Callithrix jacchus: one gene and its partners. The protein of the gene in region 1 interacts with the protein of each later gene in a biochemical or structural test. Links are inferred from orthologs where the notes say so. Each region holds a gene or a part of one and is shown in the gene's direction. Other genes may lie near its edges. The genes, in order: CASP3, CDKN1A, HCLS1, GSN, PANX1 and PTGES3.

Region 1 (2,615 bases):
TACATAATTCTAATCTTACCTATTTTAGTAAGAAGTTTTAAAAAAGTTACTTATGCCCACTTCCTAAAATAGTTTCAGATACGTTGCTGAGCCCAGGTTCGGTTAAGATGATCTCTTAGTTTTACTCTGTCTCTTCATCATGTTCCCATACAGTATATCTGAAGTTGTTGAATGAAGTCATGGATTTTTTTCCTTTTATGTGCAAATGTCTTTTCAGTTTCTAAAGAAGATCACAGCAAAAGGAGCAGTTTCGTTTGTGTGCTTCTGAGCCATGGTGAAGAAGGAATAATTTTTGGAACCAATGGACCTGTTGACCTGAAAAAAATAACAAGCTTTTTCAGAGGGGATTGTTGTAGAAGTCTAACTGGAAAACCCAAACTTTTCATTATTCAGGTAACGTAACTGAGTGATTTGGTGATTGAAGATTAATCAGGGGCTAATTTTCTCAATTGTAAATTAGCCAAAGGATGTGTGGTTTTTTTCCTGAAGCTAAGAAACTATCGTTACTTTTCATTTACTTAAACTACCACTTAAAAGATACGGAGTAAATTTTAATTTTATACTTACATATCAAAAAGACAACATAATTAACATCCATTTTTACATAGTGTTTCAATTTCTTAGAAATAAGTTATATGTGCACACACAAATTTTTATAATAAATATTTATTTTCTAATGCCCAGGCCTGCCGTGGCACAGAACTGGACTGTGGCATTGAGACGGACAGCGGTGTTGATGATGACATGGCGTGTCATAAAATACCAGTGGAGGCCGACTTCTTGTATGCATACTCCACAGCACCTGGTGAGAACCTTGCACATAATGAATGTTACATGTGGATTTCAAATGAATTTTACTGTGACTAATCATAAAATTATACAGTGAAGAGTGTGTTTCAGAGACTGTCAAGATTTTGATATCCCTAAAGATACAAACTTGTCTATATTTTAGGGTACCTTCATCAAAGAGAAGTCTCCAAAAGTTGTCTTTAGCCAAAAGTTTGGCTAGAAAATATGCATAAATAGCTGGGTGCAGTGGCTCATGCCTGTAATTCTACTGCTTTGGGAGGCCAAGGCGGGTGGATCACTTGAGGTCAAGAGTTCAAAACCAGCCTGACCAACAATGTGAAACCCTGTCTCTACTAATAATATAAAAAATGTAGCAGAGTGTGGTGGCGCGTGCCTGTAATCCCAGCTACTCGGGAGGCTGAGGCAGGAGAAACACTTGAACCTGGGAGGTAGAGGTTGCAGTGAGCCAACATCGTGCCACTGCACTCCAGCCTGGGTGACAGAGCGAGGCTCCTTCTCAAAAAAGAAAAGAAAATATGCATACATAGAGTAGACTAGAGCAATGTCATTCATTGGACTTTTTACCAGGTAGAATATTACATGGCAACAGAGGCCAAAACAGAGCTTCCCTGCATTTTAAAGAAGAAGAGAAGTATGTTTCTCAGGAATTATTTGAAAGGTAGTAAATAAAAAAGATAAACATGACTAGTATATGAGAGGATAGATGTGGAGTGGGAGATAACAAAGAAGGTAAGAAATGACATATGAATATGCTGCTAATCTCCACTGTTTACAGTTCTGCTGTACCTGTCGTCATCTAAAGAAATATTTGTTGAGGGCCAGGCGCAGGGGCTCAAGCCTGTAATCCCAGCACTTTGGGAGGCTGAGGCGGGTGGATCAAGAGGTCAAGAGATCGAGGCCATCCTGGTCAACATGGTGAAACCCCGTCTCTACTAAAAATACAAAAAAAATGAGCTGGGCATGGTAGCGCGTGCCTGTAATCCCAGCTACTCGGGAGGCTGAGGCAGGAGAATTGCCTGAACCCAGGAGGCGGAGGTTGCAGTGAGCCGAGATCGCGCCATTGCACTCCAGCCTGGGTAACAAGAGCGAAACTCCTCAAAAAAAAAGAAATATTTGTTGATTATGCCACCATTTACTTATACAACTACTCAGGGTGCCAGAGGGCGTGACACCTGAAGGAAATGGGAAATGTTTTGTTTTGTTTTGTTTTCTGAAACGGAGTTTTGCTCTTCTTGCCCTGGCCGGAGTGCAATGCCGCTATCTCATATCACTGCAACCTCTGCCTCCTGGGTTCAAGCAATTCTCCTGCCTCAGCCTCCTTACTAACTGGGATTACAGGCATGTGCCACCACACCTGGCTAATTTTGTATTTTTAGTAGAGGTGGGGTTTTTCCATGTTGGTCAGGCTGGTCTCGAACTTCTGACCTAAGGTGATCTGCTTGCCTCGGCCTTCCAAAGTGCTGGGATTACAGGCATGAGCCACCGTGCCCAGCCAACTAAATGTATTTTTATGCAGTGTCGCATTTTAATATGTGCACAGTGTGGTTTCCTCTATCCCCTAGGCCTCTTCCTCAGCAAAGTACCTCTAAGTTAAAAGCAATGGGTCCAACAGTTAACCTGAAAAAGAAAAGTATGATAAATACACTCTTTTCCCTTTTTGGACCTTTGGAATATGTGTATTATACTTTATTCAGATGCTCTGTAGACAAATAGGACACTCAAAGCAATTTATTTCTTGGCTAAGTCAGTATTAAAATCAGGTGAAATGTGATCGGAACACTGTTACTTATAATCCTCTTTATAGA
Region 2 (3,135 bases), on another chromosome or scaffold:
TAGAGATAGGGTCTCTCTGTGTTGCTCAGGCTGGTCTTGAACCCCTGGGCTCAAATGATTCCCCCACCTTAGCCTCCCAGAGTATTAGATTACAGGTGTGAGCCACTGCCCCTGGCCTCCCCAACTGATTCTGATGGGACTCTCTGGTTAAGAAACCTCAAAATTAGAGAGGGAGTAGGTTCAATACTAGAGCACAGGACTCAGGGCAAACAGGCCTGTGTTCAGATCCTGACTCTGCCATTTATGAACTGTGTGACACTGGACAAGTTGCTTAACTTCTCTGAGCCTTTGTTACCTCTGCTGTAAAAAGGGAGCAAATAGCTATTCACTTTTTAGAGGATTGACATTTTTAAACTGCTTAGAACAGCCCCCATACATGAAAATATACAAATGAATCCCAACTCATGCCTAGGAGAGGGTAGACAGAGGTTCCTTGAGGGCTCTGTCCACTGTACTGTGTGACTCCTTTATGGGGCAGTGGCCTTTGGCCTTTTTAGCTGTATGACTTGGGGGCAAGTCTCGTATCTCTTCCATCTCCTGCCCTTTAAACTTGGTGTGAGGTTACCAAGCACCTCCTCTCCCAACCAGCTGGGACGTGAAACTGATCACAAGCAGTGGGGTGAGGTGGGATGGAGCAGATGTGGCATGTGTCCCAGGCTTCCTGCCTCAGGAACACTCAGCAGAGATTTCACCCCCTAGAGCCTGCAAGTTGGGACTTGTCCCTAGGAAAACCCAGTTGCTGCCAAGGTCGTGCAGTCCCTCAGTCCTGGAGTCAAGCCAGAGCGGGCAGCTAGGTGCCAGGGCTCCCTCATTGGCAAACTCACCCTTGGTTTTCCCTCTCCTGAAGTGGGAGGAGAGGAGCCAGGTAGATCAGCCACCTTTAATTTTCTTTGTCTGCAAAACGAGTTCCTTGGACACAGGCAGCACCGGGCAGGGGCTGCCAGGTGTCTAGACTTCAGATCACCTGATGTGCCTGGCAGGATGTGGCTCAGCCTGGGAGAAATTATCTTCTGCCCCGCCCTGCCCAGCCCCGCCCAGCCCCTCCTTACCCCTAGGCCACCCGCCTGATGACATCCTTGGGAAAGGGCTTCAGCCTACAGCACCTGTCAGCTGCTGTCTGAAGGGGATCATTGGCAGGGGGAAGTGATAGGGAGGAGGCTCAGTAAAACTGAAGGCAGACAGAAATAATCACACTTCCATTTTCCAAGCACTTCTGTATATGAAGTGCTGCTGGCACCTTACCTACATTAACTCAGTTAATCCTCACATCTATCCTCTGAGACAGTCACCATTACTATCTCCATTTCACAGATGAGGAAAATAGAGCTCAGACAAGTTAAGTTGCTTGTCCAGGGTCATTTAGTAAAACCTGGACTTCAACCCAGGCGATCTGGCTCCAGAGCCTTTCCGCTTAGCCCCCAAGATACAGCCTTTCATTCAGCTCTGTTCCATCTGCCTTGCTGGGTGGACTCCCCAATCAATTGCTTGAGTATGTGTCCACAGCCATGCTCTTTTTTTTTTTTTTTTTTGAGACAGAGTTTTGCTCTTGTTGCCGAGGCTGGAGTGCAATGGCACGATTTTGGCTCACCACAACCTTCGCCTCCTGGATTTGAGAGATTCTCCTGGCTCAGCCTCCTGAGTAGCTGGGATTAGAGGCATGTGCCACCACACCCAGCTTATTTTGTATTTTTAGTAGAGATGGCATTTCTCCATGTTTGTCAGGCTGATCTCAAACTCTGGACCTCAGGTGATCCGCCCACCTTGGCCTCCCAAAGTGCTGGGATTACAGGCGTGAGCCACCATGCCCAGCCCAGCCATGCTCTTTAAACTTGCACATGGCCCCCTTTATGGGTGAGGAAACTGAGACCTAGAGACAGTAAGTGGCTTTTTAAAACTTAGGTAGTAAGTGGCAGAGCTAGGACCACAACCCAGGTGCTTTTTGCCCCAGAGTCCAGGGTACTTTTACTCGGCTGAGTAGGGTTACCCTACTCGGGCATCTGGGTGGGGGTTCAGGAGGCTGGAGGAACTGTCAGACTGTTTATTTGGGAACTGACCTCCTGGCCAGGGCTGGGATTCAGAAACTGCTGGACTCTGGCAATTCACACGTATTTGGGGGCATTCACACCCATGAGGGACACCTCGGGGGGAAAACAAATTGATTTTAGCTGATAATACCTGGTGGTAAACAGGACCCTGATCCTCGCTTTTGCAATAAACTTGACTTTGTTGACATTAGCTTGCCCTTCAGCTGCCTGCTCCCCCAGTGACCTTGGGGTGACAGGCTGGCTGAGCTCTGCTGGTGGGGGTCAGGCCTCCTGTGAGATGGAGGCAGGAAGACCAGCTGGAAGGAGTCAGAGAGACCCTGTGGTAGGAAGACCTCATGAGGTGGCACAGCAAAGCCCAGCCAGGTAGTGTAGTGTCCAGTTTCCGCGGTGACCAGGGCCTTCCTTGTGTCTCTGCTGCAGGCACCATGTCAGAACAGGCTGGGGATGTCCGTCCGAACCCATCCAGCAGCAAGGCCCGCCGCTGCCTCTTCGGCCCAGTGGACAGCGAGCAGCTGAGACGCGACTGTGATGCACTGATGGCAGGCTGCATCAAGGAGGCCCGTGAGCGATGGAACTTCGACTTTGTCACTGAGACACCACTGGAGGGTGACTTCGCCTGGGAGCGTGTGTGGGGCCTTGGCCTGCCCAAGATCTGCCTTCCCAAAGGGCCCCTGGGAGGAGGCAGGCGGCCTGGCACCTCGCCTGCTCTGCTGCAGGGGACAGCGGAGGAAGACCACGTGGACCTGTCGCTGTCTTGCACCCTAATGCCTCACTCAGGGGAGCGGCCTGAGGAGTCCCCAGGTGGACCTGGAGACTCTGAGGGTCGAAAACGGCGGCAGACCAGCATGACAGGTGAGGACAGGTGCAGGGAAGGACATTGTAAGGGACCAGGATTCTCAGAGTCCATGGTCCAAGGGCTGACCTGTCCGGTCCTGGTCTAGTGTGCTCCTTAGGTAGAAGGGAACAGACCCAGAGGTCACACAGCAAGTAGGCAGCCAAGACCAACTAGCTAACATTGGTGGGGACCTTATATTATGCCAGGCCTTTTGCCAGGCTTCTAAGGTAGATTTATTTAGTCCTTATGCAATGT
Region 3 (3,500 bases), on another chromosome or scaffold:
GAATGTATTTATTTTTTACGGTCATTTTTATCATTTCACTTAGTCCATCCTTGATTTTTCTCAGAGTGCAGTGGGCCATGAGTACATTGCTGAGGTGGAGAAGCACTCTTCTCAGACGGATGCTGCCAAAGGCTTTGGGGGCAAGTACGGAGTTGAGAGGGACAGAGCAGACAAGGTAAGTGACAACTCTGTCTCCCCGCCGCCCACCTCAAGTCATGTAAAACTTGCTCACACTCACCCCTGGATGTTGGCCCATGCTTCTTTGTTGAAAGACAGCAGTGGATGCAGTGAGGACCTGACACCATTACAGGGATACCTCCCTCAGCAAGTTCCTTGGTGTCAATGTTGGAAACCATACATTGAGCTGAAAGACAGTGATTCAAATGAGGAGAAGACTCCAAACTGTCTGTTTGAATAAGGAATTCCTCAAGCGCCTGGTTTTTATTATACTCATATGCATGAAGATAAAACAGAGAATCAGAAAAACTCTTCTTTTGGCTTAACATCAAAACCTTATAAATACTCATGCCTTTTAGGAAAACAGAGTCGTTAGTTTAAATGTTATTACGAGGGCAGCAAATAATCAAGTTAAACAACTATTTAGGGTTACAGTTTTTTAGAAAGTAACAGTTACTATTTACAGGACTTAGCATCAATATCCAAAGTCCGGGTATCTTTAAAGACTCCTTTGTACAAAACAAAACAAAATGTTGTTTTAAAGAGAAAAAAAAGTACAGTATCATTATAGCAGCATATTGTTGACAGGAGAGTAAGATTGATAACTCATTGATGTGTTTAGTTCCATGCCTCATTAGGTCAGATTCTTTGAACTTATTTTTCATGGTGCAGAATGGTGTCTCCTCCCTTGCAGCTGCACACAGAGGGAGGACATCTTCTTCACAGCTAGCTGAGATGTTTTCTTTTTTTTTTTTTAAACCAGCAGTTGTTATGAATCCTTAAAGCTAAGTTCTAGAACACTAATTGTTTGCATCATGGGGGGAAAAACCATGAAAAACAAAACCAGGAAAGTTTAAAACATACTATAAAGCCAAGGGAAGATGTAGAAGGAAAATTTTAAAGGCAATAGTGGAATATGGAGCATGCAATGTTCTAGAATCAGGATGGAATTCCCTGTTCCATCTTGGTCCCCTCCTGCCTGACTTTGCATAATCTCTGATTCTTACATCTTTTGCTCACAAGCCACAAATGGAATCATCCAGTCAGTGTGTCATGTAAATCAAGAAACAATACATGCTAATGAGTTCTTAAGATGCAAAAACCCAGACTTGCTTAGAGACCCATAGTTCCTGAGCCAGATGGAGAACAAAGCTCCAAAACTCTGTGGTAATGTTAGGTATCTGGGCAACATGTCCAGTCCCGGAGCCAGCTAGAATCCAGACTCTCCAGGTTGCAGTTATCCCACCAAAATCCACATATTTGTGTTTCCATTATTGAGTAATGAAAGAGAAGAGGCACAGCGTTATCAACTGAGAATAGAATAATGTCTCTTCATGAGCAGAGTGCTTTCTACTTTACAAGGCAATTTTCTAGGTATTACCTTTCAGTTTTGTGAGGATTCGTTAGGAAGAAAAGCACTAAGTTAGTGAATGAACCTAAGTAGACACTTTACCTTGTCCCATTTAGTTCTCATGATATCCCAAATGAAGAGGGATCATTTTTCTCACTTTATAGTCAAGTTAGAGAAGGCAGGCATGCCTCTCCTCATTTTATATGAAAAGAGATTGGGGCTTAGTAATATAAAGGAACATGCCTAAATTTCAACAACTATAAATAGGGGATGTAGGGTTTGAACCTAAAACTATCTGTGTCCAGGGCCCACGTTCACTGCTCTGTAGTAGCCTGTGTCCACATCAGCCTGTTCCTACATTAAACATCCATACTCAGCCTCAAGACCCTACAAACTACCTCTGGGGCTGGGCTGGGAGTAAGGACAGGTCAGGGAGGGGAAAACCTGTTGGCTCTGACTCTAACCAATTCTCTCTCCTCCTCTCTGTAGTCAGCAGTCGGCTTTGACTATAAAGGAGAAGTGGAGAAGCACACATCTCAGAAAGGCAAGGAACTGTACTTCACTCAGTCTCAGCAATCTGACTGGCAGGCTCTTCTGCTAAGACTTTATCTTCCAGCAGTTGTCATCAGCTTTTTTAATCCTGTGACCCAGCTCACCACTATTTTATTTACTTTTGTTTGTTTCTTTGTTTTTGAGACAGGGTCTTGTGCTGTCACCCAGGTGGGAGTGCAGTGGCATGATCACCGGTCACTGCAGCTTCGACTTCCTGGCCTCAAGCAATCCTCCTACCTTAGCGTTCTGAGTAGCTGTGACTACAGGTGTGCACCACCATGCCTGGCTAATTTTTTTTTTTCTTTGTAGAGATGGAGTCTCACTATGTTGCCCAGGCGGCCTCATTTCACGTGATCCTCCCCTCTTGCCCTCTCAAAGTGCTGGGATTACAGGCATGAGCCACCGCATCCAGCACTATTTTATATACTTTTTAATCCCAGTCTATACTTGCTTCTCTTTTTCTCCATTATTGCTTTCTATAATATTAAGTTTTTGAATCCCTCTTTTTCCTCTAATGGATTGAAAATAAGGTATTCTATTCCTTTTAGAAAGTTATTCCTAAATTTTAACATGCATCTTTGACTTAAATTTAAAATTAATCACAATCTTGGCCGGGTGCGGTGGCTCACACCTGTAATTCCAGTACTTTGGGAGGCCAAGACAGGCGCACCACCTGAGGTTGGGAGTTCAAGGATAGCCTGACCAACATGGAGAAACCCCGTCTCTACTAAAAATAAAAAATTAGGTGGGCGTGGTGGTGCATGCCTGTAATCCTAGCTACTTGGGAGGCTGAGGCAGGAGAATTGCTTGAACCCTGGAGACAGAGGTTGCAGTGAGCCGAGATTGCACCATTGCACTCCAGCCTGGGCAACAAGAGTGAAACTTGATCTCAAAAAAAAAAAAAAAAAAAAATTAATCACAATCTCTTCCTGAGTATATAAGATACATAGAATATTTTAACTACATTTCTTTTATCAAACCATATTGTTGTTGTTCAGTATATTGGTTCCATCTTATAAACCCCACAAAAATGAATCATTATTATTACTTAGTAAGTGTTTATTTAAATTGACCAAGGTATTTACCTATTTTCTAGCTCACCATTGCTTATTGTATTTCTTTGTTTCATCTTTGCATCTTCTATTTTCTTCTTGCTAAAATATATCCATTAATAAGCCTTTTAATGAGTCTATGTAAGGACTTTCAGTCTTTGAAAAATGTCTTTATTTTGCATTATTCTTATTGTTATATTCCCATCATCACTTTAAAGATAATATTTCATTGTCTCTGAGATCTCTCTTGTGTCAGACTATCTTTCCTGTGTAAGTAACATGGTCTTATCTCTGTTTTTTTTTAAATTAAAGATTTTCTTTTGATTTCTGATATTCCACATTATTATTAGGGCATGTCTAGGTGTTAG
Region 4 (4,125 bases), on another chromosome or scaffold:
TGGGAAGCAGGCCTCCTCCAGTTTGGATAGCACTTTCCCTAACCCAATAACTCTAGAGGGAGAGTGGAGGGATGGGAAGGGAGCTTGGGAATGAGGAGGAAATGCAAACTCTCCTCCCACTGCAGAGTCAATGAATAGTACCTAAAAGGGAAACAAAATAAAACAATTTCAAGAAGTAACAAGGGCTTGTTTAGAGACTGAAGGTAAACTCTGAACCATCAGCTAAAAGAGGTAGATAGCAGTGGTTGCCCCTGGGGAGAGGTAAATGGGATGGAGTGGGGGAACAACTGTGTACAAATACTTGACTTTATGTTTTAATCGAAGTAAGACTTTTAAAAAACAAAAACTTTTTTTTTTTTTGAGACGGAGTTTCACTCTTGTTACCCAGGCTGGAGTGCAATGGGGCGGTCTCGGCTCACTGCAACCTCCGCCTCCTGGGTTCAAGCAATTCTCCTGCCTCAGCCTCCCGAGTAGCTGGGACTAGAGGCGAGCGCCACCATGCCCATCTAATTTTTGTATTTTTAGTAGAGAGGGTTTCACCTTGTTGACCAGGATGGTCTCGATATCTTGACCTTGTGATCCACCCACCTCGGCCTCCCAAAGTGCTGGGATCATAGGCATGAGCCACCACCCGGCCCTAAAAAACAAAAACTTTTTAAAAAGGACAGAAAGGCCGTCTTGGGAAAAGTAGGAGGGGGCATCCCAGGAGCTGAGCGTTCTGCCCCGCCCCTCTGAGTCCTGCTGGCTTCACTTGCCCAAGGGAGCTGGGTCCCCTGCCCTGCTGCGGTGCATGCTCCCTGGTGGGGGTTCTCCCAGGCCCGCACTGCCTGAGTTCAAATACCAGGACAGCACCTTTTAGTAGCTGTGTGGAAGTTGCTTCACCACTCTGTGCTGTTCCATCCTCTGTAAAATGGGTTGGCCATTGTCCCCTCTGAAAAGGGTGTGCTGATGCCTCAGTGAAAAGCTTTCAAAAATTGTTAGGTCATGTTATTTTTTTCCTGGAGGTGTTAGGTGCGGAGGAGAGGAGGGGGGCTCGCGTGGGTCACAGGAGGCTCAGCGGGGCTCGCCGTGGTTCGTGCGTGCGACCATTTAGCGTTCACAGAGCCACTGCCTGCTATATGCTAGGCCCGGTGCTGGTGCTGAGTCTCCGCCCCGGAGCTGGGGTGTAGGGGCTGCCGCGCCCTGTCGGGTTGATGCCGGTGGGAACCCAGATGTCTTCAAGATTCGGGACAGATCCCCGCCCCGCGCCCTCCCTGCGGGGCGGTCCCCGGCTTGGGCGGGCTGGGCGGGCGGCTACTTAAGGTCGGCGACCCAAGAACGCAGCTGCCGACTGGGTCCTCTGCAGCTGTCGCCACCATGGCTCCGCACCGCCCCGCGCCCGCGCTGCTCTGCGCACTGGTCCTGGCGCTGTGCGCGCTGTCGCGGCCCATCCGTGCGGCCACTGCGTCGCGGGGGGCGTCCCAGGCCCGGGCGCCCCGGGTGCAGGCGCCCCAGGTGCGGGTGAGTGCCCGGGGGGCCCGGGGCTCCCGGAGTAATTCTCTATTGTAAGTTCTTGCAGATACAGCGCTAGGAAAAGGGGAGTAATTCAGGTCTAGAATGGAAAAACTGTTTTGTTGCTTTGTAAGTATCTCTTGCTGCTTCCGGGGCTCTGGCTCGCAGATGAGGGTGGGAGCCTCGGGGCTCTGGCTGCTCCCTCCCAGGAGGCTAACCTCGCCTTGGCCGGATTTCTTTTCCTCTGTCCCCGTCTGACATCTTACCTCCTGCCTCCTGATTTCTCCTTTTCCTTCTCTGATTTCTTCTGTCTGTGTCACTTCTTTCCTTTCTCTTCCGATGTCTTCTTCCCTTTCCGATTCCTTGTTCGCATTTGCTCTCTCTCCCTCTCCAGTATTTCCTTCTTTCTTGTATGACCTCACCTCTGTCTGCTTATGGTCATTACTATTATTTCTTCTCTCCTTTCTGCTGTCTTCCCTGTCTCGTCTGGTTTCACCTCCTCTCTCCTGTTTCCCTTGTGTTTTTTCACCCTTCTGCCTGAGTTCCCCCCGCCTGGTTTCTCTGACTTTCCCCCTCTGACTTTTACTCCCACCAGATCTCTTCTCCGGCCAGAGGTGACCTGCACCTGCTGATTTTTGTCCTTGACTCCAGCCTAACCCTCCTGCGTCTGCCCCAGCCCCAGCCCCAGCCCCAGTGCATGTCTAACCGCCTCTTCATCCTTAACCACCTCATCTCCAACAGCCTCCTGCAGACCCCGGTGCATCCTCTTCACTTCTTCCAAGAAATGAAATTTGCGGGTGGGACATTGCAGGGCAGGAGGGAGGAGGCAGACAGCGCAGGAGGCCACTTGGGCTCAGCCATTTGGACCCTTCTTGAGGGTATGATAGGGATGGGTGCAGAGAGGAGAGGGGGCTCCTGTAGGCCACAGGAGGCTCAGCTGGGCTCACTGAAGTTTGCAAATGCACCCATTTAACATGCACAGAGTTAGCGCCTGCTGTATGCCAGGCCCTGTGCTGGAAATCTTTCCACTTCCAAAGAGCAAAAGCAAACAGGCTGTGTGACCTTGGGTCAGTCCCCTCCCCTCTTTGAGCCTCAGTTTCTCTATCTGCAGATTGGGTTCAGATAATGAGCTCTCAGAGAGCCTTTTAGTTGTGATAGCCATTGAAGATGCTGGAAGGGAGCAAGCTGAGACCCTAAGAACCCCTAGATTTACTATTGCCATCTGAGGGGTCTACCCATAGTCCCAGAGCTTATGATCTTGGAACCTGGGGCAATCCCTGCTACACTGTTTCCTAGCTGGAGGTCCCTGGCAGAGTCCCATCACCTCTCTGTGCCTTGATTATCACATCAATTGGCAATAAGAAAAGAAGGGAGGCTGGGTGTGGTGGCTCGCGCCTGTAATCCCAGCACTTTGGGAGGCCAAGGTGGGTGGATCACCTGAGGAATTCAAGACCAGCCTGACCAACATGGTGAAACCCCACCTCTACTAAAACTACAAAATTAGCCAGGCGTAGTGGTGCATGCCTGTAATCCCAGCTACTTGGGAGGCTGAGGCAGGAAAATGGTTTAAACCCAGGAGGCGGAGGTGGCAGTGAGCCGAGATCAAGCCACTGCACTCCAGCCTGGGTGACACAGTGAGACTCTGTCTCAAAAAAAAAAAAAAAAAAAAGAAAGAAAAGAAAAGAAGGGAACAGGGAAGTAGAGCCCTCTGTGCCCCCCATCACCAGAAAAAGCCGATGGCAGGTTGAGTAGGAGAGATAGATGCTGGCTGTGGCGCAGGATTTGAGGCATAAAACTCTTGCCCTGTTTGCTGACTCATTGAGACAGGGCATTCAGAAGGGGATAGGCTTGCCTGCGGCATTGGGAGAGCAGGAGGCTCAAGTGAGATGCTCTTGGTGCTAGAAACCACCCTCCCTCATGCCTGGGGTCCCTCCCTGCTAGGACCCATGCCCCTGCTCAAGCTCTGCCCTGTCTCTTCCCAGCCCAGCAGCATGGTGGTGGAACACCCCGAGTTCCTCAAGGCAGGGAAGGAGCCCGGCCTGCAGATCTGGCGTGTGGAGAAGTTCGATCTGGTGCCTGTGCCCACCAACCTTTACGGAGACTTCTTCACGGGCGATGCATACGTCATCCTGAAGACAGTGCAGCTGAGGAACGGGAATCTGCAGTATGACCTCCACTACTGGCTGGGTAAGGCTGGCCCTGCCCAGCCCTGCCCCAGCCCCCATTCTGAACAGTGCAGATCTTTGAGGCGTGGTCCCCAGGAAGGGAACTTATTATTGAGAAACCAGTATGCGCCAGGCTCTTGGCTAGTGGTTCATGCCCCTAGACTCTAGAGCCAGCATGGTCGAGTTCACACCCCTACTCTGCTCCAACCCTTGGTCTGCCTCTGCCCTTTGGCAAGTCACTCGATGTCCCTGTGGAGTGAACATGATGATAGCTCTGCACTACCTCACAGGAATGTTGCGAGGGTTAAACACTTTACTATGGCACTGAGAACTGTGGGTCAATTGGAGACCCTGGACCCCTCCATAACCTCCCTGGGCCAGCTCCAGGCACTTCCTAGTTTGCCCTTCGGAGTCAGGAGCCCTGAGTCCCCGCCACACCTCTGCTGTGTGATGCTATAAGTCCTACCCA
Region 5 (4,189 bases), on another chromosome or scaffold:
TCTGAATCATATGAACTTTGATTTTCTTGTGCACAAAGCATTTTAGCCTGTGTGTTGTCATCTGCAGCCTGTGACTGTAACCTCTGTACTATACCCTCTGAAAACCCAACTGTGATATGAGGGGTCCTCCTCCCTTCTCCTAAACTTTCTTATAAAAGCCTTCCAACGTTTAATAAACTTTGAAACATATCCAACTTTGTTGGTAAGTCTTCTTGGGTGGGTCCTCACATTTACCTTCCAATCAGTCAAATTATTTCCACCTCAATAGCCTTAATTTCCATGGACACTGGTCAGAGCATTTCCTCCTGTCTTTCTTTTTTTTTCCAATTTTTTAAATTGCATTTTAGATTTCGGGGTACATGTGTAGAACATGCAAGATTGTTGCATAGGTACACACATGGCAGTGTGATGTGCTGCCTTCCTCCCCATCACCTATATCTGGCATTTCTCCCCATGCTATCTCTCCCCAACTCCCCACCCCGCACTGTCCCTCCCCTATTTCCCCCCGACAGATGTGTGATGCTCCCCTCCCTGTGTCCATGTGTTCTCATTGTTCAACACCCACCTATGAGTGAGAACATGCGGTGTTTGATTTTCTGTTCTTGTGTCAGTTTGCTGAGAATGATGGTTTCCAGGTTCATCCATGTCCCTACAAAGGAAACGAACTCATCATTTTTGATGGCTGCATAATATTCCACATTTTCTCTGTCCAGTCTATCATTGATGGGCATTTGAGTTGGTTCCAAGTCTTTGTTATTGTAAACAGTGCTATAATGAACTTACTTGTGCATGTGTCTTTATAATACAATGATTTATAATCCTTTGGATATATATCCAATAATGGGATTGCTGGGTCAAATGGAATTTCTATTTCTAGGTCCTTGAGGAATCGCCACACTGTCTTCCACAATGGTTGAACTAGTTTACACTCCCACCAACAGTGTAAAAGCATTCCTATTCCTCCACATCCTCTTCAGTATCTGTTTTGTCCAGATTTTTTGATGATCGCCATTCTAACTGGCTTGAGGTGGTATCTCAATGTGGTTTTGATTTGCATTTCTCTAATAATCCGTTATGATGAGCATTTTTTCAAATGTTTGTTAGCCTCATATATGTCTTCTTTTGAAAAGTGTTCATATCCTTCTCCCACTTTTGGATGGGTTGTTGGTTTTATTATTGCATATATGTTTTAGTTCTTTGTAGATTCTGGATGTTAGCCCTTTGTCAGATAGGTAGATTGCAAAAATGTTTTCCCATTCTCTTGGTTGCCGGTTCATTCTGTTGGAAAATCCCTGCGTCAGAGGGTGGGCCCGAGGGGCGCGGATGCAGCCGCGCCCACCCCGCCTCGCGTCACCGCGTCTTCCGGAAACTCCACGCCTCTGGGTACTCGGTTTCCCCGGATGGTTCCGGAAGAGCCCGCAGCCGCTGGCGGAGAGAGCACGGCTGGCCAGGAGTCCGCTATAGTCTGGGCGGCGCGGAGGGGCCGGGCCGGAGGTTCAAGCGCCTGCGGGCTCGCTGGAGAGCTCGCATCCGAGTGCCGCGCATCCCCGGGGACTTGCACGGGCTGAGCGCGCTTGGTGGGACGGCGGGAATCGCCGCGCCCAGGTCCCCGCCCCGCCGGCCGCGGAGGCAGCAAGCGCGAGAGCCCAGCAGAGTCCCTGCGACCCGGAGGCGCTGAGACACAAAGGCAGGCGGGATTTGGGCGCAGCCGGGGAGTGGGCAAAGGGAAAGCGAAAGCCGCGCCCCAGGCCGGTGACGGGGTGAAGGCGCCGCGGAGCTCGCCAGACGCCAGCGGTATCTGGACCTGCCTGGCTGACCCCGGCGCGCCGCAGCCATGGCCATCGCCCACCTGGCCACGGAGTACGTATTCTCGGATTTCTTGCTGAAGGAGCCCACCGAGCCCAAGTTCAAGGGGCTGCGACTGGAGCTGGCCGTGGACAAGATGGTCACGTGTATCGCCGTGGGGCTGCCCCTGCTGCTCATCTCCCTGGCCTTCGCCCAGGAGATCTCGATTGGTAAGCTTCGCCCAGGTCGGAGGGGAGGGCCGTCTGGGTCTGGCCGAGTGAGCTGTGATCTTACGATTTTACGGCTCATAGGCCCAAGTCTGGGCACGCCCAACTGTGATGGTCGTAAATGTCAGGTAGGATAGTGGCCCCGGTTTTATAGTCCAAAGTGTTCTTTGCTCAGGTGTTTCATTGGTACTCTTGTCTACCCAGCTTTCATCCCTACTCCTCAGTTTTCTTGTTCCCTGAGACCCACTGATGGGACTGTGGCTTACAGTTCATGTCCCACCTTTAAAACTAGCACCTTGCCACCAGATTTGCCAAGAATAGCCGTGTCCCCTCTTTTCTTCCCTGTCTCCTACATACCTGTCCAGCCGCCTAAAATATTGTACCAGAGAAGTTCCTGAGTGGCCACATGGAGAATGTGAAGAACGCTGTTTCATGAGAAGTGTGTTCTTTCACTGTCTTATATTTAATTGGTATTTGCTGAGATAGCTCTGCAGGGCTGTGAATAATAGGAAATATTTGCACTTGGCAGGCATTAGAGGGATCCTTCATTTGGACGGTCTTATGAATGTGAGATGAACAAGTCCCCTTCCTGTAAATTCTCATGTGAGCTTCATAGGTGTTGTTTGAGATTGGAAAGTCTTCGTGGCTGCTCTTCCTCATCAGCTGTTCTAACTTTCACACAGGAGAGAGTTTTAGGAATCAACAGGAAGGTAGTGCAGGAGGGTTAAATACAGTTCTGTGGCGGGGGAACTGCCTAGTGTGGCTGGACTTTGGGGAAACTTTTGTCAGAGGGTGGGTGGGATTTGGCTAAGCAGGAGTAAGACCTTTGTTAAGGTTTTGAGATGGCAGATAATGTTATATGTTCCTGGAAAGAGAGACACAGTGACTGTCCTAGCCGGCAGGAGGATAAGTCAAGAGTTCCTGGGATCTGAGAGTGAATATGGGCCTGGGTCAGCCTGGAATAGAAGAGTATAGATTGATGGTTTCAGAACTGTGAAGTTTATTGTTTGAGCAGAGGACAGAGTGGTTGAAAACAATAGCATTACGTAAATACTAGCCTGTTGGTGGCATATAGGGTTTGGGAAGGAGGAGAGGATGGGACCTGGAGGGCCAGGTGCCTTAAAGCAAGAAGTCTGTTGAAGTCTTGTGCACAGATGGTGTGAATGGAAGAAAATGGATGGGTGATTGCTGTAAGATCAAGGAGTAAATAAGCAGCACGTGAGTACCTAGTTTGTAATAGGCCATGAAGGGCAGTACTGGTCAAACTTGCTGTGAAGGCTGTATATCTGGGTGAGTGGAGTGTGGTGTTGAGGGTGATGGGAATAGTGAAGTTGAGGGAAGAGTTGGTTAGGAAAGAGTGACGACGAGTGTGATTGTGCAATCTGCAGCACTAAGTTGTTCAGTTTGGCAGGAAGCTGCCAAGTTCATCGTGGAAAGTTAGTTTCTAGTTTTCCTGCTCTTTGCATAGGCATAGTCATTGAGATTTTCATTCGCTTCCCATTTGACAGTGAATTGAGGCTTCCAGCTGAAAGGAAAACCACCAAATAGCGTGTGTCCTGGAGATAATCTCTCCCTTCAGTCAACTCCTCATTGAGTTCTGGCTGTGTGCTGAACTAAGTGCTGACCTCCAAGGACCTGGGAGTAAAAGAGGCCTGGACCCTGTCTTGGAGGTGCGAGTCTTGGGTCCCTGGTTGGAACAGAAAGGCAGGAAGGAGGAGTTGATCGCCCTCTGTGACCAGTCTCCACCTCTAGTGCATGTACTAGAGGGATCCCTAAGGAACCTGCACCTGTAATGCCTTAAGATACATCTAAATTGGTGGGCTGCCTGAGAGGTAATTTTGGGTGATTAGGGGTGGTTTTACCTAGCAAGGGTGTGAGCTCATGCTGTGTGCATAGCACTGTTGTGTGCTGAGGAAGACGGGAAAGGGTTTTGAGACCTTGTTCTCGCCCTGCCCTCCCTCTGGCCTGTGGCAGTTTACTATGCAGTTGGGGCACTAGAACATATCTGTTAGCAGGTAACATTGTTCAGCTGTGTGTAATTCAGCACCCAAACAGGTATTGAGCTATGAGCTCCGGCCTGGTGAAGGTTGGCAGGCACTTGGGTGAGGCGCTATCGAGCAGAGTCCCATGTTTTCTGAAGGGTTTTCAGGAGTTCCAAGGGAGGACATGTTGCATTG
Region 6 (4,070 bases), on another chromosome or scaffold:
GATCCACCGCGCCCAGCTTCGTTTTGAGACAGGCTTTCACTCTGTCGCCCAGGTTGGAGTACAATGGCATGATCTGTGCTCACTGCAGCCTCCGCCTCCCGGGTTCGAGCTATCCTCCCACCTCATACTCCCTAGTTTTTGGCATTACAAGCGCATGCCACCATGCCTGGCTAATTAGTATTTTTGTAGAGATGGGGTTTCACTATGTTGGTCAGGCTGGTCTCGAACTCGTGACCTAGGGAACCACCCTCCTTGGCTTCGCAAAGTGCTGGGATTATAGGCGTGAGCCACTGCACCAGCCCAATTTCCCTCTTTAACGGTATCTGAGCTAGGATCCACGTTTCGTAGCTCCCCAATAATCTGCCTTGTACAGCAGACACTAAGCACCTTAATGCTTATTATGAAACCTCATTCTTCAGAAATATAGCACTTTCCTTAAACCTCCTTCCTGTTCAAAATGCAGTGCACTGGAGTATTTCTCCCCTACTCCACCATTAAGTAGCCTCTTGGTGAGCAGGGCTGTGTTGGGTCTCTCGGTTACTATGCCCTACTACACCCTAGTAGTGTGTTGTAGGAAGCGACGGGGAATCCCTTCTTCCCCAAATAATGTGCATGGAGACACAAAGTGTCTTAGCCTCTCCATTCCAGAAACCTAGACTCTCCCCTCAAATATCCTTCGTGGCTCATCTACAGTACTAAGGTCTCAAGACAGGGGCAAAAGCCAGCCCCGAATGGCAAACGCTCCTCCTCCGCCAAGAACCTCGAATGTCCGCTGTCCCTGGACAGAGCCTCCAACCTTCAGAAAAATGGTGAAGTGAGCCCTTTTCCACAGCACAGGCTTTTCACGTTTTTGTGGTGGAATGTTTCCTGCGTGAGCTGATTTACTCCCTCAAGAGTAACCAACGCTCCATTTCAATTCTCCACGATCCCGACTCCGCGTCCCTCCGCCTCGGCCTTTCCTCCCGCTGCCAACGCAGCGGTTTCTCAGAGAAATCGCCCAAAGAGCGTGGCCGGGCGGTTGGGCGGCCAACGGTTTTCTAACGCGAGAGGACACCGCGGGAGGAGAGGCGGGAACGCGTAAGGACTAGCGGGGGCCGGGGTGGGGGTAGGGTGGCGGACGAAGGGCGGGGCCGGCGCCAGGAAGGATCGCGAAGGAGCTGGGAGGCCCCGCCCTTTCCGTAGATATCTCTAGAAAGCCGCGCCGGAGCCCGAAAACAAGGACTGCGCACGCGCGGTGGCAAGGCCCGGGCATTTTGCTGCGTCACCAGCCGCCGCCCGGCCTCACCACCCCTCGTTCGCACGCACGCACGTTCATTCTCCGTCCTCGCGCCCGTTTTCCTACACTTTCCTCTTCTCCCCGACCGGAGGAGCCGCTCTTTCCGCGCGGTGCATTCTGGGGAGCTAGGTCGAGCCCGCCGCTGTCGCCGTCGCCTGAGGGAAGCGAGAAGAGGCCGCGACCGGGGAGAAAACGCGGAGTCGCCAGCGGAGAGAAGTCGACTCCTTAGCAGCAGCCGCCGCCAGAGAGGCCCGCCCACCCGTTCGCCCGTCCCCCTGCCCCGTTCACAATGTGAGTGCGACACCCCGCCGAGGGAAGGTCGCCCGGAGTGAGGCCAAGGCCGCGTCGGGGGCTCCGGGAATGCGGCCGCGGCCCTCCCTCCACTTTCGGCCCCCCCAGTCTTTCTCGCATCGGTGGTGGCAGTTGTGCCTGCCTGGGGGCGGGAGATCTAGTATCCTTGTTCCGGTTACCGTTGGCGAGTGGAGGACATTTTCCTCCAGATCTCCGCTTCCCCGTGCCGGAAATGCTACTTTTCCCCCTTTGGCCGTCTGGCCGACTCGCTTTCTGTAACTTCACCCTAGGCCTTGAGCTCCTGGTAGCTGCTCGCCATGCGGCGCCCTGAAGCGTGAACCCCCGCGGGTCGCTTCTCGGCCGCCTGGGCGCTCCAGTTCTGCTCCGTGGTCCCGGGGCCAGGCCCTGGGCCGAGCGCACCTGTAGTGGGTGTCGCCAGGTACCTGGCGGAGCTCCTGGGAGAGCCCCACGCGGACCTCGCCGTGAGCTGCATGGTACTGCTAGGTAACTGGAGGGAAGCCATGCCCACGCCGCAACTTACTTCCCTCTCCTGTGTCTGGGTTTCTTGAGTGTGGGTACTTCTAGGCCGCCTCCTAACTCCCAGTCTGTTCAAAACACGGGAGGTTGCCGGAGCTCAGCCGCTTCCCTGGCAGTGAGGAGTTACCGTTGAGCAGGTAGTTGGGCACGTGTCGACTTTGGAAGAATACCTACGGACATTTTCAGTGTTCCATGTTAAACTTTAGGTGAGGTTTCACTATCCTGCCTCAGTGTAGGATGAAGTAGATATGTAATTAACTTACTGTTGTCCTAAAAAGCTTAAATTTGATGGTGTGTAGGTGAATACAAGTTCTATAGCAATCTTCGTTTTATGGTAAAGGAAAGCCTTAATTGATTTTAACCGAATAAGAATTCATGGCACTGCCACATCCAGTGAGGGCTCCTGGTTTTACAGGGTTTGGTTTTGTTTTTTTTTTTTGACGGGACGTTATTTTTTAAGTTATTAGCTAAGTCTTAAAAGATACTGAGAACAATTGAAGGGGAGCGTTCCCCCGCCCACACTCCATTTAGGAGAGATGAGGGGAGTAACTTTATTCCTGCGGAAAAGTAACAAACATTCAAGGGTTTACTTAATTCAAGCCATGATACTGACAGTGAATATATTGGCTAAAAGTCTAAAGGGATGAGTGAGGGGTACACTGAAGCCAGTTTGTCGCTGAGAACAAGCTTCTAGAGCACAGCGTGTATTACTGTAAGGGCGTAAATTAGAATTTTGGAGGAGCCCCCTCCCTGAAAGTGGTACGTAAACGGGGTTTTTACAAATTCGAATCTATGTAAAGTAGTTTTTGCTTTTCCTTCTAGGTAATGTAAAAGGGACTTCAGTCTTAACCTTTTATACTCTGAAAACCTGTAAGGGGAAAATTGTCAGATGAGGTGTTAGCAACTTTTAATACAGCTGAACGTATCTTTTCGCGAAAAATACGTTTAAAATTGGCTTGAGGTAGGAGCACTTTCTGGAGGCCACGTAAGATATTTAAATAGGTAAGAAATGGCTAAGTTAAGTAGATTTTAAAACTTGAAAGAAAAGTCAATGTAAGTCAGGGTGCAGTGGCTCACACCTGTCCTGCACTTTGGGAGGGTCAGGCGGTGGGATCAGGAGTTCGAGACCAGCCTCGTCAATACTGTGAAACCCCGTCTCTACTAAAAATACAAAAACTAGTCGGGCATGGTGGTGCTCACCTGTAATCCCGGCTGGTCTGGCGGCTCAGGCAGGAGAATCGCCTTAACTCTGGAGGTGGAGGTTGCAGTGAGCCAAGATTATTGAGCCATTGCACTCCATCCTGGACGATAGAGGGAGACTCCGTCTCAAAATGTAGCAGTAGAGAGGCTATTCCAAAAAGTAGCCTCTCTGGTTAAAAAAAAAAAAAAAAAGCTACTTTCAAAACAAGTGATCCGATGCCACATGCAGGGTGTTGAGGGAAAAGATGAATGTTTTGAAAGAGACCAGCTAATTTCATCCTTTTAAAAATATTCAGTATGTGTCATTTGGTATATTCTTCAGGGACTCTTACCAAGTTAAAGATTTAAGTGAAATTACAAAATGAATGTTGTAAGTCGGTTGTTTGAGGTGGAAGAATCCTTTACTGGGTCGTCATCCAGTCCTAGGAAGAATCTGGCTGATGCGGGTTTATTTATTTATTTATTTATTTTGAGTCAGGGTCTTTCTCTATCGCCCAGCCTAGAGTGCAGTGGCGTGATCTCAGCTCACAGCAACCTCCACTTCACCTCCCGAGCTCAAGCAATCCTCCTTGCCTCAGTCTCCTGAGTAGCTAGGACTGCAGGCAAGCACCACCATGCCTGGCTAATAAAACCTTTTTTTTTTCTTTAAAGATCTGGAGAGAGATTATGCTGGGTGCATTAAGGGCTTGGGAGAGTGTTTTCTCAGTTGATTTACTCATTTGCTCTTTAGCGATTTCCTAGTTACATTTCTTTACATCCTAAGTTA

The links.
Region 2: of the proteins of CASP3 (region 1) and CDKN1A, one has a biochemical effect on the other in vitro, tested with the Homo sapiens proteins (3 studies listed by BioGRID). The link is inferred for Callithrix jacchus from reciprocal best matches to the Homo sapiens genes CASP3 and CDKN1A.
Region 3: of the proteins of CASP3 (region 1) and HCLS1, one has a biochemical effect on the other in vitro, tested with the Homo sapiens proteins (2 studies listed by BioGRID). The link is inferred for Callithrix jacchus from reciprocal best matches to the Homo sapiens genes CASP3 and HCLS1.
Region 4: of the proteins of CASP3 (region 1) and GSN, one has a biochemical effect on the other in vitro, tested with the Homo sapiens proteins (2 studies listed by BioGRID). The link is inferred for Callithrix jacchus from reciprocal best matches to the Homo sapiens genes CASP3 and GSN.
Region 5: of the proteins of CASP3 (region 1) and PANX1, one has a biochemical effect on the other in vitro, tested with the Homo sapiens proteins (2 studies listed by IntAct). The link is inferred for Callithrix jacchus from reciprocal best matches to the Homo sapiens genes CASP3 and PANX1.
Region 6: of the proteins of CASP3 (region 1) and PTGES3, one has a biochemical effect on the other in vitro, tested with the Homo sapiens proteins (2 studies listed by BioGRID and IntAct). The link is inferred for Callithrix jacchus from reciprocal best matches to the Homo sapiens genes CASP3 and PTGES3.

The regions. Positions count from the first base shown.
Region 1 is NC_133504.1:6,758,516-6,761,130, forward strand, and holds part of CASP3 (caspase-3), read left to right. Parts: intron 1-217; coding exon 218-393; intron 394-684; coding exon 685-805; intron 806-2,615. UniProt on the Homo sapiens protein: Thiol protease that acts as a major effector caspase involved in the execution phase of apoptosis. Following cleavage and activation by initiator caspases (CASP8, CASP9 and/or CASP10), mediates execution of apoptosis by catalyzing cleavage of many proteins.
Region 2 is NC_133505.1:44,985,176-44,988,310, forward strand, and holds part of CDKN1A (cyclin-dependent kinase inhibitor 1), read left to right. Parts: intron 1-2,465; coding exon of another isoform or gene 2,466-2,470; coding exon 2,471-2,897; intron 2,898-3,135. UniProt on the Homo sapiens protein: Plays an important role in controlling cell cycle progression and DNA damage-induced G2 arrest. Involved in p53/TP53 mediated inhibition of cellular proliferation in response to DNA damage.
Region 3 is NC_133516.1:81,347,644-81,351,143, forward strand, and holds part of HCLS1 (hematopoietic lineage cell-specific protein), read left to right. Parts: intron 1-64; coding exon 65-175; intron 176-2,017; coding exon 2,018-2,072; intron 2,073-3,500. UniProt on the Homo sapiens protein: Substrate of the antigen receptor-coupled tyrosine kinase. Plays a role in antigen receptor signaling for both clonal expansion and deletion in lymphoid cells. May also be involved in the regulation of gene expression.
Region 4 is NC_133502.1:169,699,613-169,703,737, forward strand, and holds the start of GSN (gelsolin), read left to right. Parts: upstream 1-1,325; 5' UTR 1,326-1,356; coding exon 1,357-1,500; intron 1,501-1,549; exon of another isoform or gene 1,550-1,596; coding exon of another isoform or gene 1,597-1,620; intron 1,621-3,473; coding exon 3,474-3,678; intron 3,679-4,125. UniProt on the Homo sapiens protein: Calcium-regulated, actin-modulating protein that binds to the plus (or barbed) ends of actin monomers or filaments, preventing monomer exchange (end-blocking or capping).
Region 5 is NC_133511.1:46,208,690-46,212,878, reverse strand, and holds the start of PANX1 (pannexin-1), read left to right. Parts: upstream 1-1,389; 5' UTR 1,390-1,834; coding exon 1,835-2,015; intron 2,016-4,189. UniProt on the Homo sapiens protein: Ion channel involved in a variety of physiological functions such as blood pressure regulation, apoptotic cell clearance and oogenesis.
Region 6 is NC_133510.1:62,968,856-62,972,925, forward strand, and holds the start of PTGES3 (prostaglandin E synthase 3), read left to right. Parts: upstream 1-1,270; 5' UTR 1,271-1,565; coding exon of another isoform or gene 1,566-1,567; 5' UTR 1,568-2,296; coding exon 2,297-2,310; intron 2,311-4,070. UniProt on the Homo sapiens protein: Cytosolic prostaglandin synthase that catalyzes the oxidoreduction of prostaglandin endoperoxide H2 (PGH2) to prostaglandin E2 (PGE2).